Linked DNA regions of Alligator mississippiensis. The protein of the gene in region 2 purifies or fractionates together with the protein of the main gene of each other region. This does not show direct contact. Links are inferred from orthologs where the notes say so. Each region holds a gene or a part of one and is shown on either strand. Other genes may lie near its edges.

Region 1 (7,256 bases), on a different chromosome or scaffold from region 2:
GGCAAGCCAGATGATTATCTGGAATACTAAAGAGAAAGATTAAGTCTAAAAGAGGACCAAGCAGTAAAACAGACTTGTCAGAGTTCCTTAAATACATTCAGTGGTTGAACAAAAGGACAAGTTACAGTAGAAACCTGCAGTCTGGGAGACTTCAACCTTAGAACAAAAGGGCGGAGTCTTCTCCAAGCACTTCTCCAGTCAATGTTGATACTGGAGAAGGGGGATGCTGAGTAACTCCATTCCTTTCTCAGCCTGTTCTACATTCTGGCTCACTCATTCTGTACCTATATGTTTACACATGGTTGGGATGCCCACACTGGTTTTTTCTAAAAGTACTGGATATGTTTTATTAATAAAATATTTTAGTGCACTATGCGCTGGCACACATGCTTCAGAAAAAGAAGTAGCACTAAGTTCTGTACAAACATTTTAATAAAGAATTTTAATCCATGTAAATTCAATATCATAAAACCATAACAACGCTGTAAATTGTTTAGCAAACCTTACCATGTACATTACAACTTAACACAACACAGCATCATCATATTCACAACCCCCTGCAATGCATATATGTAAATAAGGCATCCCTGAAGTCCCTTGCTTGCTTTAACTCAGCCCCAGTGAAGACAAATGCACCCTCTGGTTAAAACAGTTACTCAAGACTCTTTACACCATTGGCTTTGCACAGAATGTCAAAATAATGCAGATTGCATTTTGTCAATGGTTTGGTAGGCAACACCTTCCTGCCTTGACAGCCTTTAAAGTGTACACTACACTACCACTCTGCAACTGTAAAGTATGCAATTAAACCTTCTTTTCCTAGGTCCTCATGGGAAAGCCATGGCAGGGTGCCCTAGAAGAGTGGGTATACAAACCCTAAACATATTTTTCTAAGTCCCTAGTTACTCAACAAGTTAATATCAGATCTCATTTATCTCAAGTCTATCTATAGAGATGCAGAACAATCCACACTTTCCATTTGGGATTTATGTCCCGTCCCCCCCACATTTGCCCATCACAAGTGCCATTAATGACCACAGTACACAATCTGGGAAGATAATTTTAGTTATCATTCCAGTGGGTATAACCAGTACACTTATCTGTGGGTGAACACAGTGTTCAAACACCTCAAACATCTGCTAGCCCAACCTGAAAAGTTGGCTTGCCAACATTAGACTGATTAACCACAGGCCTGCAGCTGCCCAAGGTTGCTACAGCAAACCACTTCTGGACCAGCAATGCCTCATTTCACGTCCTGACATACTCCACATGTGCCTCTGCAAATGCATGCTTTCTAATGCACAAATTCAGTAGCCACCACTAGTTATCAAAGATCAGCATAATAATACAGTCCAAGAGTGCTGTATGTCCTGTACCAAGAATACCTGTCTATGCATGGGGGAATTTCCAGCTGATGTCAGCAAGCATCAAGTACCACAACTGCATTAGGGCGGAATCCAACCACAAATCTGCCACAACATTAGCACAGCAAGGGCCAACCTTTTTGTCATACATGCCACAAGTTAGCCCCACACCCTCCCCAAGTCTGAAACTAATCCCCTTCCACTGCCTGGTCTGCTTTCTGTCTCCTGTGCAATCTACCACATGCCATATGCACCAGCTGGCCATGCCACTTGTGGCATGTATGCCAGGGTTAGCCACCTCTATTCTAGAGAACAAGAACTGCTACAGAATTTCCACCACTGTTTCAAAGCACCCTCTCTTGGTATCATGCAATAACAATACACAGTGACAAGCAGGAAGAGCTCTTCCTCTGGTGTTGAATCTGTGGCGTGGCTCCAGCTGGAAGGAACATGAAGCAAAGCGTATAGAGCCAGAAACACCTTGGCTAGATGTGCTGGCAGGCAAGGAACATTTCAGTACAGGGCCCCAGGAAGGACAGACATGTTCTCCTATGATACACTATGAATTCATCTCTCTACTGTAGGGAGTAATAAAAAATGTTCAATACTGCCTTAGCAACTGTAACAACCAATGCTTCAATATAGAACAATGTGTACATGGCCACCTGCATACAGAGCATGCTCTGCAGCATGGATGCACGTAAAAATGTACTTGACAAAACAAGAGAGTACATGAACATTGAGACAATCACTCCAGAAATATCCTTAGCGTGCTTAGTTTCAGCCTTGGGTTAAACTCAGCCTGTTACATAAATTGCGATTTGTTCAGCAGTAAAGCTGCAGGCATCATTTTTTGGTAACTAGGAACATTACTCCAAGGCAAACATAGTAAACTTAGGATCAAGGAGTTGTAGCCTTACAAGATAATTTACCTTATTGAAGCTTTAGGTTAACCCCCAATTTAACACTTCAGCAAAATGTTTCTAACGTAGCTGCTGTAGTAACACAACTATCAGATAAAAACAAAAAAAAAAGAGCATATATACTGGTGTTGTGCTGATATTCTTCAGTTTGCAGACAACTCTTTGCTGCTGCATGCATCTTCACGAAAAAGCAGAAACTGTACTCCTCATGATGACATTGAGATGCAATTCTGTCAAGTCATTTCATAGACACACAAACCATACTCACTAGCAGTGATAATTGAAAGGATAACTGAAACCATGATGACTCCAAGCAAGTCAGTCATTCTGCCTCAGACCTCACCCAATGCCACAGTACGAGCGTCTATAAATACCTTCCAGGAGAGTTCAACTGTGACTTGGTTGTGAAGCACTGCGGTTAACACTTCCATAGGCCCTCATATTGAAATGAAATACATAACCTCTATTTGTTGCAAGGAGGTAACCCATGTGATTTTTTTCTTTAAAAGAAGGATTTAATACGAGCCCCCCCCAGTTTGGACAACAGCTCAGTGGAAATCTTTATCACTTTCCGTTACAGCCAGTCACTGACCACCAAGTGCCAGCTTGGGATGAGTGACTTTTGCTTTGGTTCATCCAGGACTTGGTCACAAGAAGTGGGGCAGCTCTTTAAACCAAAGACGCTCCAGCTTAAGGTGAAGGTTAAGGAAGCAGCTCACCTTTTAGTGGTGGCTGAAGGCTTCTTTCCCATAAAGACCCTCGTAGCAGCAAACAGGAAAGCACAGGGAGCGGCGCAGCAGCGGAGCCGGCTGGCGACTCCCCCTCTCTGGCACCACAATTTCCTCCCCTCCTTCCACAGCTGTCAAGGACCCTGTCGGGCAGGGCCCGGGGAGACGCCTGCTCTCGCGTTAAGGCAGGACCAGACCCCGATTTCAACAGGTGCAGCCCCAGGGCCCCCCCCGCGGCCCGGCTGAAGGACACTGCGGCGGGGCCGAGGCGCACGAAGGGCCCCGCGGGCGGCAGGCGCTGCCTCGGCGGGGACCCGTGGGGCCGAGCAGCCCCTCGCCTCGCCGAGGCCGGGGAGGAAAGGGCTCCCGGCCCCGCTGCGTCACCGCGCCCCGGACAGCGGCCGAGCCCGGCCCGGCGCGGAGCCGCCCCCACCTACCTCACACATCGGCGCCGGCTCGGGCGGCGGGTATCGGGTCGGCCCGCCAGGCCCCGCGCCCTGCCCCGCGGCCCTCCCGGCCGCGCCGAGAGCAACCCGCGGCAGGCGCAGCCCGGGCGCTCGCGGTTTTGTTTGCTGCGCAGCCCCCGCCGCTGCCGCCGCCGCCGCTCCCTCCCTCCCTCCCCAGGGGCAGCGCGACACTTGCCGCTGCTTTACGGCAGCCCGCAAAGCGCAGCCGCGCCGGACAGCGCTCCTCCTTCCGCCAGCGCCCCCGGGCGGCGCCTGCAAGGGCGCGGCCTGCGCGGCAGCGCCCCCTCCCGGGCGGAGGTGGCCATTGCCCGGCCCCGGGTGCTGCAACAGTCGCGGCACAGAGCCGGGCCGAGCGTGAGCCGCGCAGAAGCTTTTGAAATAGTAAATGCTGAATTAATTGAATCTGCTCTTTGGTTCCTGGTCTTTCCTGGAGCACTTGCTTCACCTTGGCCGTCTCCTCTCCCGTGCCCAGGGCTGGAAACTTGTCTGCATAAAACGTAGCTCGGACATCGGAAGACCGGTGACAAAGCCAAGCGCGATAAGGAATCGGGCGTGATGCAGAGACAGGGCGGGGCACAGGGCCTGCTTCCCTCTGCATCAGCCTTTGGGTTACTCTAGTTCAGTGCTGCCAGCGCTCAGGATCGTTGGCCTTGTTCTTAAAGTCTACGCTTCGGGAATGCGAGACTTGGCTCTTTCTTTTATATATTATATATACTGTTATAAATACAATATAATGATATATATATAAAAGAAAGTCACATTCCCAAACGCCAAAAATCCTGGGAGTTGGCAATACTGCAAGTTCTAGGGGCTCCGGCAGCACCGCCGAGAGGTGATACTGTTGTAGACTTGCTTTCAGGAAGTAATGAGCAGGAATCCCACTTTTCTTGGTTTAAAAATCGCAAACTCTCTGATAAAATATTGCAAATTCTTTGATTAAAAAGCCCCCAATCTGTATTTTTCCATGATTAAAATGAAACACCGCTATATATATATATATATATATATAAATTGAATGTTTTATTGATAGGCTTACAATTTTAAAGCAATTTGGAAGCCTACCAGTGCTCAATCATAATAAATTCTAAATATCTATACATTTTGGCATTTGATTTGGGTTTTTTTAATCATGGAAAATTAGAGCTCCCCATGCCCCTCCACTCACCAGGACATAGGTCCAGCTGTAGCTATCCTCCCCCACAAAACACTGCTTTGTAGTGCTGAGCAGTCCTGATATGCCAGTGGCCTGCCCATGCCATTGTCCCTTACTCCTGACCCACAAACCCCTGGGCCCCGCTGATGCCCCTCACTCCCAACCCACAGCCCCCCACTCCTGCCGGTTCCCTTCCCCACCCACAGCCCCCTGCGCCTCCCAACCCTGCCAACTGCCAGGGCTACGGGACCAGGGATGATCCACAGCCTCCTGTACCCCACAACACTGCCCAAACCCTAGCTGCCACCCATGGGAGGCAGCAGCTGCTGTGGCAGAGCAGAGCACGGACACAACTCCCCCTTCCCCACAGGCAGCACTATCTGAGTGGAGCCCACTGGAGGACAGGGGGCAGATACAGGCTCCCCGCCCTGCTCCACCCCCCCGCCCCTCCATGGGACCTGGCACAGCAGTACAGAGCGAGGAGGCTCGTGCCACTACCAGGAGCTCCACACTGCCATAGCGGCAGCAGCAAGGAGCACATCTCCATGCCACCAACCTTGTTACTGCCAGGTGAGGCAGAGGGCTCCTCGCTATGGTGGTGCAGGACTCCAGGTGGTGGCATTGAGCTTCCCAGCCCCATTCTGCCCTGCTTTGCCAGGTCCCGCCTGTTGGGCTCTGGAGACCACAGGGAAAGGGCAGCAGGGCAGGGAGCCTGAGCTGGCAGTGGGCAGCCTGCATCTGCCCTGCACACAAATCTGGGGAGCATTTGCCCCCTTTCCCCTCCACCAGGAATGCACACAGCATCAGGGTTTTTCTCCTTGAAGTGAGAAAATCTGGGTTTTACCAGATGTGACGGGCTAGCTGGCAGTGACCTAGCCCAGGGGTTTTGAAAGGGCAAAAGATGATTGGAGGACTTGGGATTCCCTTTCCTCACCAATCTGGTAATGATTTGGCCCATGGGGTTTTGAAGGGGTAAAAGACCATTGGAGGACTTGGGATTCCCTTTCCTCACCAATCAGGCCCAGAGATTCACCCCTCATGTCCCCTGATTGGCCCCTTGGGTCACCTGGAGGGGGATAAAAGGGGCAGCACAGCTGATTCAAGAGGAGACCAGTGAGGGACTATGAGGAAGGAGCTTTGAAGAGCTGGGCCAGCAGGGTGGAAGCAGTTGCCCCAGAAGAGCCTGAAGGAGCAAGACCTGCAGGCAGCAGTGGGACCCTCAGCAGCACGGTATGTGGATGACAAGAGAGGCATCCTGCTGGGCTCCAGGACCCCCTACAAGAGGCTGTAGCTAGCAGGAGGATCTGAGCAGCAACCTGAGGGGTCCCAGCTTGGCTTCCAGCTCTTCCACTAAGAGGCCAGACAGCTTGATGTGAGGCCGGGGCTCCAGGAAGGTCAAGACCCCTAGCAGTTTGGAGCTATACCAGCAGTGGTGGCTGTATAGCAGTGTTCTTGCCTATCCTGTGGGAGAACTGAGTTCAAGTCCCAGCTTTGTTGACTTGGGGTGAGTGAGCTAACAAGGAGAAATTCTTCTTGCAGTAGACAGGAGCCACTGCATCTTCCCCCCTTTCTCCCCCTCCAGTGACCTAGGCCCTATATTTCTTTGTCCTCTGACATTTTGTATTTTGTGCCTTTTTTTATATTTCCCCAACCAGTATTGTTTGCTCTGTTGTTTGTGTTTTATATTTTGTTACCCCTGTCTTTTGCCAATGACTGTAAGTGTCTAACCTTTGTTGAATCCTGCCCCTTGGGGCATTGTGGTGTCCACTATACCCCCTGATTATACCTGTTATGTTCCCTCATTAAAAGGTATGTGGTTAAGTCCCCAGTGGTGGTCTGGCTCTGCTCTATAGTGGGAGGAGAATCCCTACACCTCCCACAGCACTTGTGCACCTGCTCTGATCCCTTCAATTGGAGAGGGGGTACCTTTTGGAGTACTGCCTGGGTTACACGCATTTTTTCCATGGCAAACAGAAAACCTGGATCCCTGGTAATGACAACATTATAAACAAGCTATAGAACAGAACATTGGCTCATGAGTTGATTTAACTGTAAATTTAAAGAGAAGCTTTTAAAAACTTGGTCTGTACCTAGGGGTTTCAATCATAAAAAAGCAAACCTTGGTAAACAAAGGGAACTACTTAGTGACACTACCTAGACTGAAGAGTTTATGGATATGGAGAAAGCCTGGAATCTCTTTAAGCACAGGCGGCAGAAAGGTGGGGGGGCTCAGCCCCCCCAAAGGCTGAGCCCCAGATGCATGGGGGGGCACACAGGGGCACATGCAGCAGCTTACAAAGTGATCAAAGAATGGAGAAAAAAGTGATTCAGGTGATCACTCTTTTTCCCCATTCTTAAATACAGCTACAACTTTTGCTATTTTCTAGTCAGTCCTTGATTTGTTAGATTTCTTAAAACTGTCCCCAACTTGTTAGATTTCTTTAAAATCTTTGGGACAATTTCACATGTCAGTTTTCATAGCTCTGGAATAAGGCGTATCCAGTTTCTGCTCATTAAGCTCTTTGAATTTTGCTACATGTTGCTTGTGGTAACTTCTGTTTCAATACTCTCATTTCCATTAGCCATTGTGCCTCTGTGCTGATGAACATCATTATCATACA
Region 2 (6,907 bases):
TGCAAAAGTGAACAGGAAAATTCTTCCAAACAACAAAAAGAACCCCAAGAGGAATGGAAACATTCCAAAAACTCAAAGTTTAAGCTCTTCTCAGAAAAATTATTAATAATCTACAAACACAACTACCACAGCAATGCCTCAAATCAGTAACACATTAGTTACCCTCTATTTTCCAAATCCTTCCTCATAACCTCTTTTTCAAGCATTTCTCATTCTTCTTTTATAAACAGTTAACATTTATCTTATATTTATTTGTCTTATTTAGATTATGATATCACTGTAGTAGAACTAACTTCACGCTTGTGAAATACTGTGTAGACTTACAGTGTTACTGAAATAGGCAGTCTCTCTCATTGGTGTGTCAAGGTGCATTGCACAGTAATATGAGAAAGGCCTTAAAAGCAATTCAAGTAATATCTTATACATTACATGTTTAACATAAAAAAAAGATATTACCACGTTCTAAAAGCAGCCTTTGGCCTCTCACCAGCATCAATGCACTATCACCTTAAAAATCATGACACGCTATTGGGTGCTTAGCAAGATAACTGGCTGTATACCATGTGTACATATACGCACAGGAATTTAAGTCCGTGTCTGTCAGTTTAAGCTAGCACTTGATTTTTCAGGCAGCTTCCTGCTTATTGCAACATGCTTGGTATAAAACAATCACACAATGTGTAGGTCAAACAGGAGGACAGACTGTCCATGAAACCTCTACATTTTCCAGATATTGCCAGTTTAAAAAAGCAAAAGAAACAGAATGAAATGCAAAAACCTAGAACTCTTGGTTCAGAAATGATACCTTTTATTATCCTAGTTGGTCTAATAAAAGGTATCATTTCTGAACCAGGAGTTCTAAAGCTTTTGCATTTCTTTTAGTCTCAGACCAACATGACTATCAAAAACATCCAAAGAAACAGAACTACGTTCTGAAAGTTTTTGACCAGTTTATGACAAAAGCTCCAATTAGAAAAGAATTCTTAATACTAAGCCTTTTACATTGAAATTGTTGAGACTGTATTATGTATGCTGCAGATCATTCACACACCTAGCTTATACTTGATCTGACACTGGCTCGTATTTAGGAAAATGAACAGCATGCTTCAAAAGTATTCATCTGTTAACAGCAAGTAATCCAAAAGTTTTATCAGATTAAACTGGACTTACTTTGGACTGAGTTCTTTTCTGATTTTTCACGCTAAATTTCTCCTTCATTTCCTCCAAGAGATGCTTCAGCTCCCTCTCTTCTGATGTTCCTAAATATTTTTGGTTAATGTGAAGATAGTAATGCCATTTGGCTGATTCAAAACCCCAGTGGCAGGTCCTTTTATCAGGAGATCTATGTGAATGCATCACAAATGTCTGTGGAGAAAACATTCCATAACACTCCAAACACTGGATACAGGCAGCATCTGGCTGAAGATAGAACTGAGGTGCAAACAAACCCTGGCACTTGCCCAAGCATTCATGCTCTACTTCAAAGGCACTGCCAGTTTCTTTAAGTTGAGCCAACGTGTTTTTAGCAGGAAGCAGACTGCCATTTTGAGGAAAAGTGCGAGGACGTAGTAAAGCATTGCATAATCTTTGCGCATCAGTCAGCGTGATCAACCCGCAGGATGGGGCATTAAATGGAAGGATCCCCAATACCTTTAGGATATGAAGCTGATCAGAAGTGCATCTTGAACAGTATATGTACAATTCATCACAAACTGCATTAATTTGTTGGAGGGAAAAGTCTCGGAGCACAGAATTCAAGACTTGAGGTAGGCAGAGTCTCTTTTCTCCACCAACTTTAAAACAGGAAATAGATTCCCCCTCCAGCGTAGTCTGAGTGAGCTCCGTGGAACTATCTGAAGGGACGAGCAAGGGGCCAGGAAGTATCTGCGGCGATGGAAGAGGCAAGAAAACGGTGGGAGACATGCTTTCCTCAGAATAGCGAGCGGAAAAAGCGGCTGGTCCACCCAGCGAACTCTGGCTACTTAAGTGGAACTGTGCCAAGGTGTGTTTCAAACCAGGGTTTAAACTCAGGCGCTCAGATACAGCAGCGCTGTCTGACTTGACATTTTCTCTATCCACCTCCATGGGAGTTTCATCATATTCATCCAAGTTTTCCTTCTTGATGGTGGGCATCTTACTCACCCCAGTTGGGAACTCAGTATTTCCATGCATTTCTGTCATTGCTTTCTTTACCGGAGGGCTCCCATCCTCCCGCATCCTATTCACTTTCTGGTCGGAGCCAGGGCGCAGGGGGAAGTTTGCCTGCGGGCCTTCCATCGCCGACCGCCACGCGTTTACAGAAAGAAACCGTGAGGGCGCATCTCTCTAGCTTCTCTGTCAAACAAATGTCAGTTGTGGCTTATCTGAACTCCCTCAGACACGCAATCAATGCCACGCCAGGCCAGGCCAGGCCAGGACAGCGCTATGCCGGGGCCTCCGGGAGGGCAGCCGAGTGGGAAGGGACGGTGTTACAAAGCCCTGCTGGGCTCTTAGGCAGCGCAGACAGCAGGGCACGTTTCCTGCCCGCAGACCGCTGGCTTCTCCATCAGGCACCAACTCATCTGGGAGGCGGGGGGAAAAATAAGGAGAAAGGGAAAAGTCGGTCTCCCAGCAGGCTGCCAAGACCCGGCCCTGCTGCCCCCTCAGCCTGGCGGCCCGTTTGCCCCCATCCTCCCCGAGGGGGGGAGGGAGGGCCGGAACCTCCACAGGCCGCGGGACACCCCCTCCCCTCCCCCCGGGACACCCGCCCCGCCCCCACCCGCAGAACGCGCCCCTCCCCCCGCGCCGCCGCCCGGCCCCTCCCCCACGCCACCACATCCCCTCCCCCACGCGGGCGGGCGCCCACGACCCCCGGGCCCTACCTCTCCGTTGTGCGGGCTCGGCTCCGCTGCCTCCGGAGCCGCGCGGGGGCCTCCCTCCCTCCCTCGGCAGTGTCGCTCTCGCTCGCCCGCGCGCGCCGCCGCCTCCCCGTGACCTCACTGCGGAGACGCAGACAGCGGCGGCGGCGCGCGGCCACGAACCCGCCGGGTGCGCGCTCCCGCCCCGCCCCCCGTCTGCGGCGCCCCTCCCCCCACGGGCCCCCGCCCCCCTCAGGACAGGACGGGACGTGCCCACGCCCACGCGCGGCGTGGCCTGGCCTGGCCTGGCCCGGCTCGGCCCCGCCTCGCCTCACCTCGCCTCACCCGGCCCGGTCGGGCCAGCGCGGGGATTCCCTGTGGCGGCGGCCGGGCGCAGACGGGGCGGAGCCGGCAGTGACTCAGCCGGGCGCCGGGAGCCCTTCCGCGGGGGCCGCTGCCCCAGGGAAACCCCGGGCCCGGCGCCGCGGGGGCTTCCGGCCTCCTGCACGCGGCCCAGCTGCTCGGCCGGGGCCGGAGGAGCCCGGGGAGCTCAGAGCAGTGACCGTGCAGTTGCCATTTCCCCGCTCTGCCGTGCCCGGGCTCCCACGTGTTTAAAGCCCTGCGGCAGAGAGAAGGGAGCCGGTTGTGTGGGCCCCCCCCGGGTCCCTCTTCCCCTGGTCGGGTGCAGGGAGCCCTGCCCCTCGCTCGGTGTCCGGTCCCCGGTGAATCCGTGGCTGCCCCCACGCCCGGCTCCACCAGGGCCTGCTCTGACGAAAAGAAACGTCCCTGGCTTGGTTGAAACCCGTGTCTATCGCCCTTGGGGGGGGGTCACCACAGACTACGCCTAAGGGGGCTGTGAAAGGCGAGGGTGATCAATCAAAAGTGTGCAAATACCCACGCTTGCCATTCAGGGGGGCCATGCTGCTGCTCAAAATATTTTGAGGGGCCCACAAATGAAAGAAGGTTGAAAACGGCCATTTTCAACGTCTTGGGGATTCATTTTATTGTGTGTCCCCTCTTTCTCCTACTGCGAGAGACTGTAAATTGACTTCACTGTTTAGTATTTCGTAAATTCTGATCACGGCCTGTAGTTTCTAAAGTGAAAAGGCCTGGTCTCTTTAGTCTCCCTCCTACGGTAGCCCCTCCATGCTGCTAATCATCCTCGTTGCCCTTCTTTGGACCTTGTCGAGTCCTTCTATATCCTTTTTAAGAACTGGGCACAGTATTCAAGGTGTGGACGCACCATAGATTTATAAATGGGCATGCTCATATGTTTTGTTTTGTTTGTGATTCCCTTCTTAATGAGCCCTAACATTTTGTTTGCCTTTTTGAGGGCTGCTGAGCTCAGCTGATGTTTTTAGCAACCTGTCCACAATGATTCCCAGATCTCTTTCCTGTGTGGTAGAAGCTAATGTCAAGCCCATCACTGTATAAGTATAGTTAGGGTTATTTTTACCCAGGTACATCATTTTACACTTAATTATACTGAATTTCACCTGCTATTTGGTTGCTCATTCACTCAGCCATGGCAGATCCTTCTGTAGTTCCACATACTCCACTTTGGCCTTTATCTTGAGTCTACAAAGGTTGAGAACCTGGGTCTAAACATACCAAACAGGCACGGGGCAGGGAAGGAGTATGAGAGAGAAAAAATGAGCCATGTGATGGTAGCAAGAATCAGGATCCTTTCATTTATTTCTGGGATGTCTTTACTTACAGGGAGGCTTTACTTAGTCGGGTAGAAACTAAGGGCAGGGGAAAGGAGAAGAGCAGAATTGGAGTGAAGGTGAAGGGAGAACTGGAGCAAACATAATCAGCACAGGGCAGAGAACATCCTTTCTAAACCCCCTGCGATTCTCTGCCTCTTCAAGGTCCAGCAGACAATGTGGTGGGAAATTGTGAGGGTGCCTGTAACAGGGTATTCCTGCTCCTGTCACTAGAAAGGCCTGAGAGAATGAGGGACCCTGGGCCAAGAAGGACAGTAAGGAGCAACAACCCAGGTGGACTGGGCCCAGGACTGATAAGGCCAGGTGGCTCATGAAGGGATTAGCTGTACCTGGTGCAGAAGGCCCTGTCCAGTACCTGAAAAGAGACTGGGCTGGGGAGTATTAGTCCAGTCTGACAACATAAGGGAAGCTTCTGCCTGCAATAGGGAGAAGCTCTTTGGAGTGGGCAGCTATTAGAGGCTGGCCACCCAGGGGAAGTGGAGGAGTCTCTTGCAAGAGTTAGGGCCTACAGGCAACATTTATCCTGAGAAGGAAACTATTTGGGTTATGAAGCAGCTGTCTCATGTTTTTGTTGTTTGTACTGCAGGACTGAGTTGTGGCTACAGGGAGTGGAGGAGGCCATGAACAGGGATGCCTGGGTGGCATTCCCCTGCTACTTGCCCTAAGAGCTGGCCCTGAGCTAAACAAGTGGAGGCTGGTGCTGAGATTTTCAACTGCCAAGGTAGGGCTCCCTAGGAGGGCTGATAACTGGCAGTTGAGATCTTAAATGGTAGACCAAGGCTGGGCATGTAGCCAGAGAAAAAGGGGACCATGATTATGACAGCAGAGGGTCTGACAAGTCCTCAGAAGCCTTGGAAATGCTCCCTTAAAAGGGAACCTTGTCTGCCCTTAAAAGGGAAACACTTGAAGGGGAGTACAGGCTCAATGGGGCAACTAGCAGTTACCCCTGATACCAGGGACTGCCTCTCTCAGCTACAACCAAGTAGCATCAAAGGTGTGGCAGGAGAAAAACCAGAGGTGAAGTGGGGCTGGGAGTAGAGGAAAGTCTGGTGTTGGGGTACCAGTACCCAGAAGGGTGTTATAATGCCCCAAAACTCATTTCACTAATTTACCTTGCAGTTTTCAGGCTGTACCTACCAATGGAAGGAAGTTCAAAAAGTGAACAAAAATTAATCACGAAGGGGAAGAAGGAGCAAAATATGGTTAGTTAGTTGTTTTATTCAGTCAATGTACTATAGCTCATTTAATTAGGGTGGTACAATACTTTGTTTTTCTCAGCTGCAGGACAGAAGATGTCTTGCCCCCACTCTATCAAGACCCTTCACAGTTTATACCCACTGTACCAATTCATTTTATTTCAGGCATTGTCACTCTTCCCCCACCCCCACTTTACTCATCCAATGGTGCTAGGATTTTGGCCCTGTCCCCTTTCTTTGTACTTTTGGCTATATTGTCTGTTATGGGCTGTCCACTAGGAGTGGACTGAGAAACAGGTAAAGAACTAAGCTATTGCAACTTTAAATTTGTTTCATTCAAGATTATAGCACTATAGAAGCAGGTAGTTTAAACTACAACAACTACATATTCAGGTGACACCTAGTCTGCCGCAGTAAGTCTACCTTCTTAAAATGGTTTAGTTAATATTCCATCTTAAGACTGTGGACAGATGTCAAAAGCAAATTAACTAAAGATAAGACATCAAGTGCATATGAATTAAAAGTGCTTTAAACCTCTCTATGAACTGACTGCCCAGAGGAGTTTTCCATCTATTGACCTCTCTGTGAAATCCTATGAAATATGAACTTTCATTTCTACCCAGGAGAACTTTAACAATCTTTTCTCCAATGCCTGACGAAGGGTGTTTGTACCCAAAAGCAGGCAATTAAAGATTTTTATTTTTTTTTGCAAAACATCTTGTTGGTCTAATAAAAGATATCATCTCTACTATGAGTCCTGATTATCTTTTCCTCAAGACTAATGCGGCTACAAAAATCTGGATACTTTAAACCTCTCTGTGTATACTCTTATTCAGAGACAAAGGGTCTACAGCAAATAAAGGTCAGTTTATTCTGGACTGCAGAGCTGTCCCCAGACAAAATAGATTTTTGCCTCCATATTTCCATAATTAACCATGCCAACTAATTGGAAGCTGATCATCACTAATCAGTGCTAGAAATGCTGCCATTTCCATGCTGCTGCCCTGGACAAGTGCCTGGTTTGTCCATAGGAGGTGCAGGGCAGACTCGAACAAGATTATCCACAAATTAGTTCAATGTTTTTTAACTTATACACGTTGACTGCACACTTTAATTGGTCTGTCTTAACTTTCTTCAGGCATTGCTT

Evidence for each region.
Region 1: the proteins of SKIL (region 2) and RNF111 purify together in Homo sapiens (affinity purification with western blotting; 3 studies listed by BioGRID). This does not show direct contact. The link is inferred for Alligator mississippiensis from reciprocal best matches to the Homo sapiens genes SKIL and RNF111.

The regions. Positions count from the first base shown.
Region 1 is NC_081834.1:38,758,409-38,765,664, forward strand, and holds the start of RNF111 (E3 ubiquitin-protein ligase Arkadia), read right to left. Parts: upstream 3,092-7,256; 5' UTR 3,039-3,091; coding exon 3,007-3,038; intron 1-3,006. UniProt on the Homo sapiens protein: E3 ubiquitin-protein ligase. Required for mesoderm patterning during embryonic development. Acts as an enhancer of the transcriptional responses of the SMAD2/SMAD3 effectors, which are activated downstream of BMP.
Region 2 is NC_081830.1:74,864,766-74,871,672, reverse strand, and holds the start of SKIL (ski-like protein), read right to left. Parts: upstream 3,010-6,907; 5' UTR 2,862-3,009; intron 2,562-2,861; 5' UTR 2,278-2,561; coding exon 1,171-2,277; intron 1-1,170. UniProt on the Homo sapiens protein: May have regulatory role in cell division or differentiation in response to extracellular signals.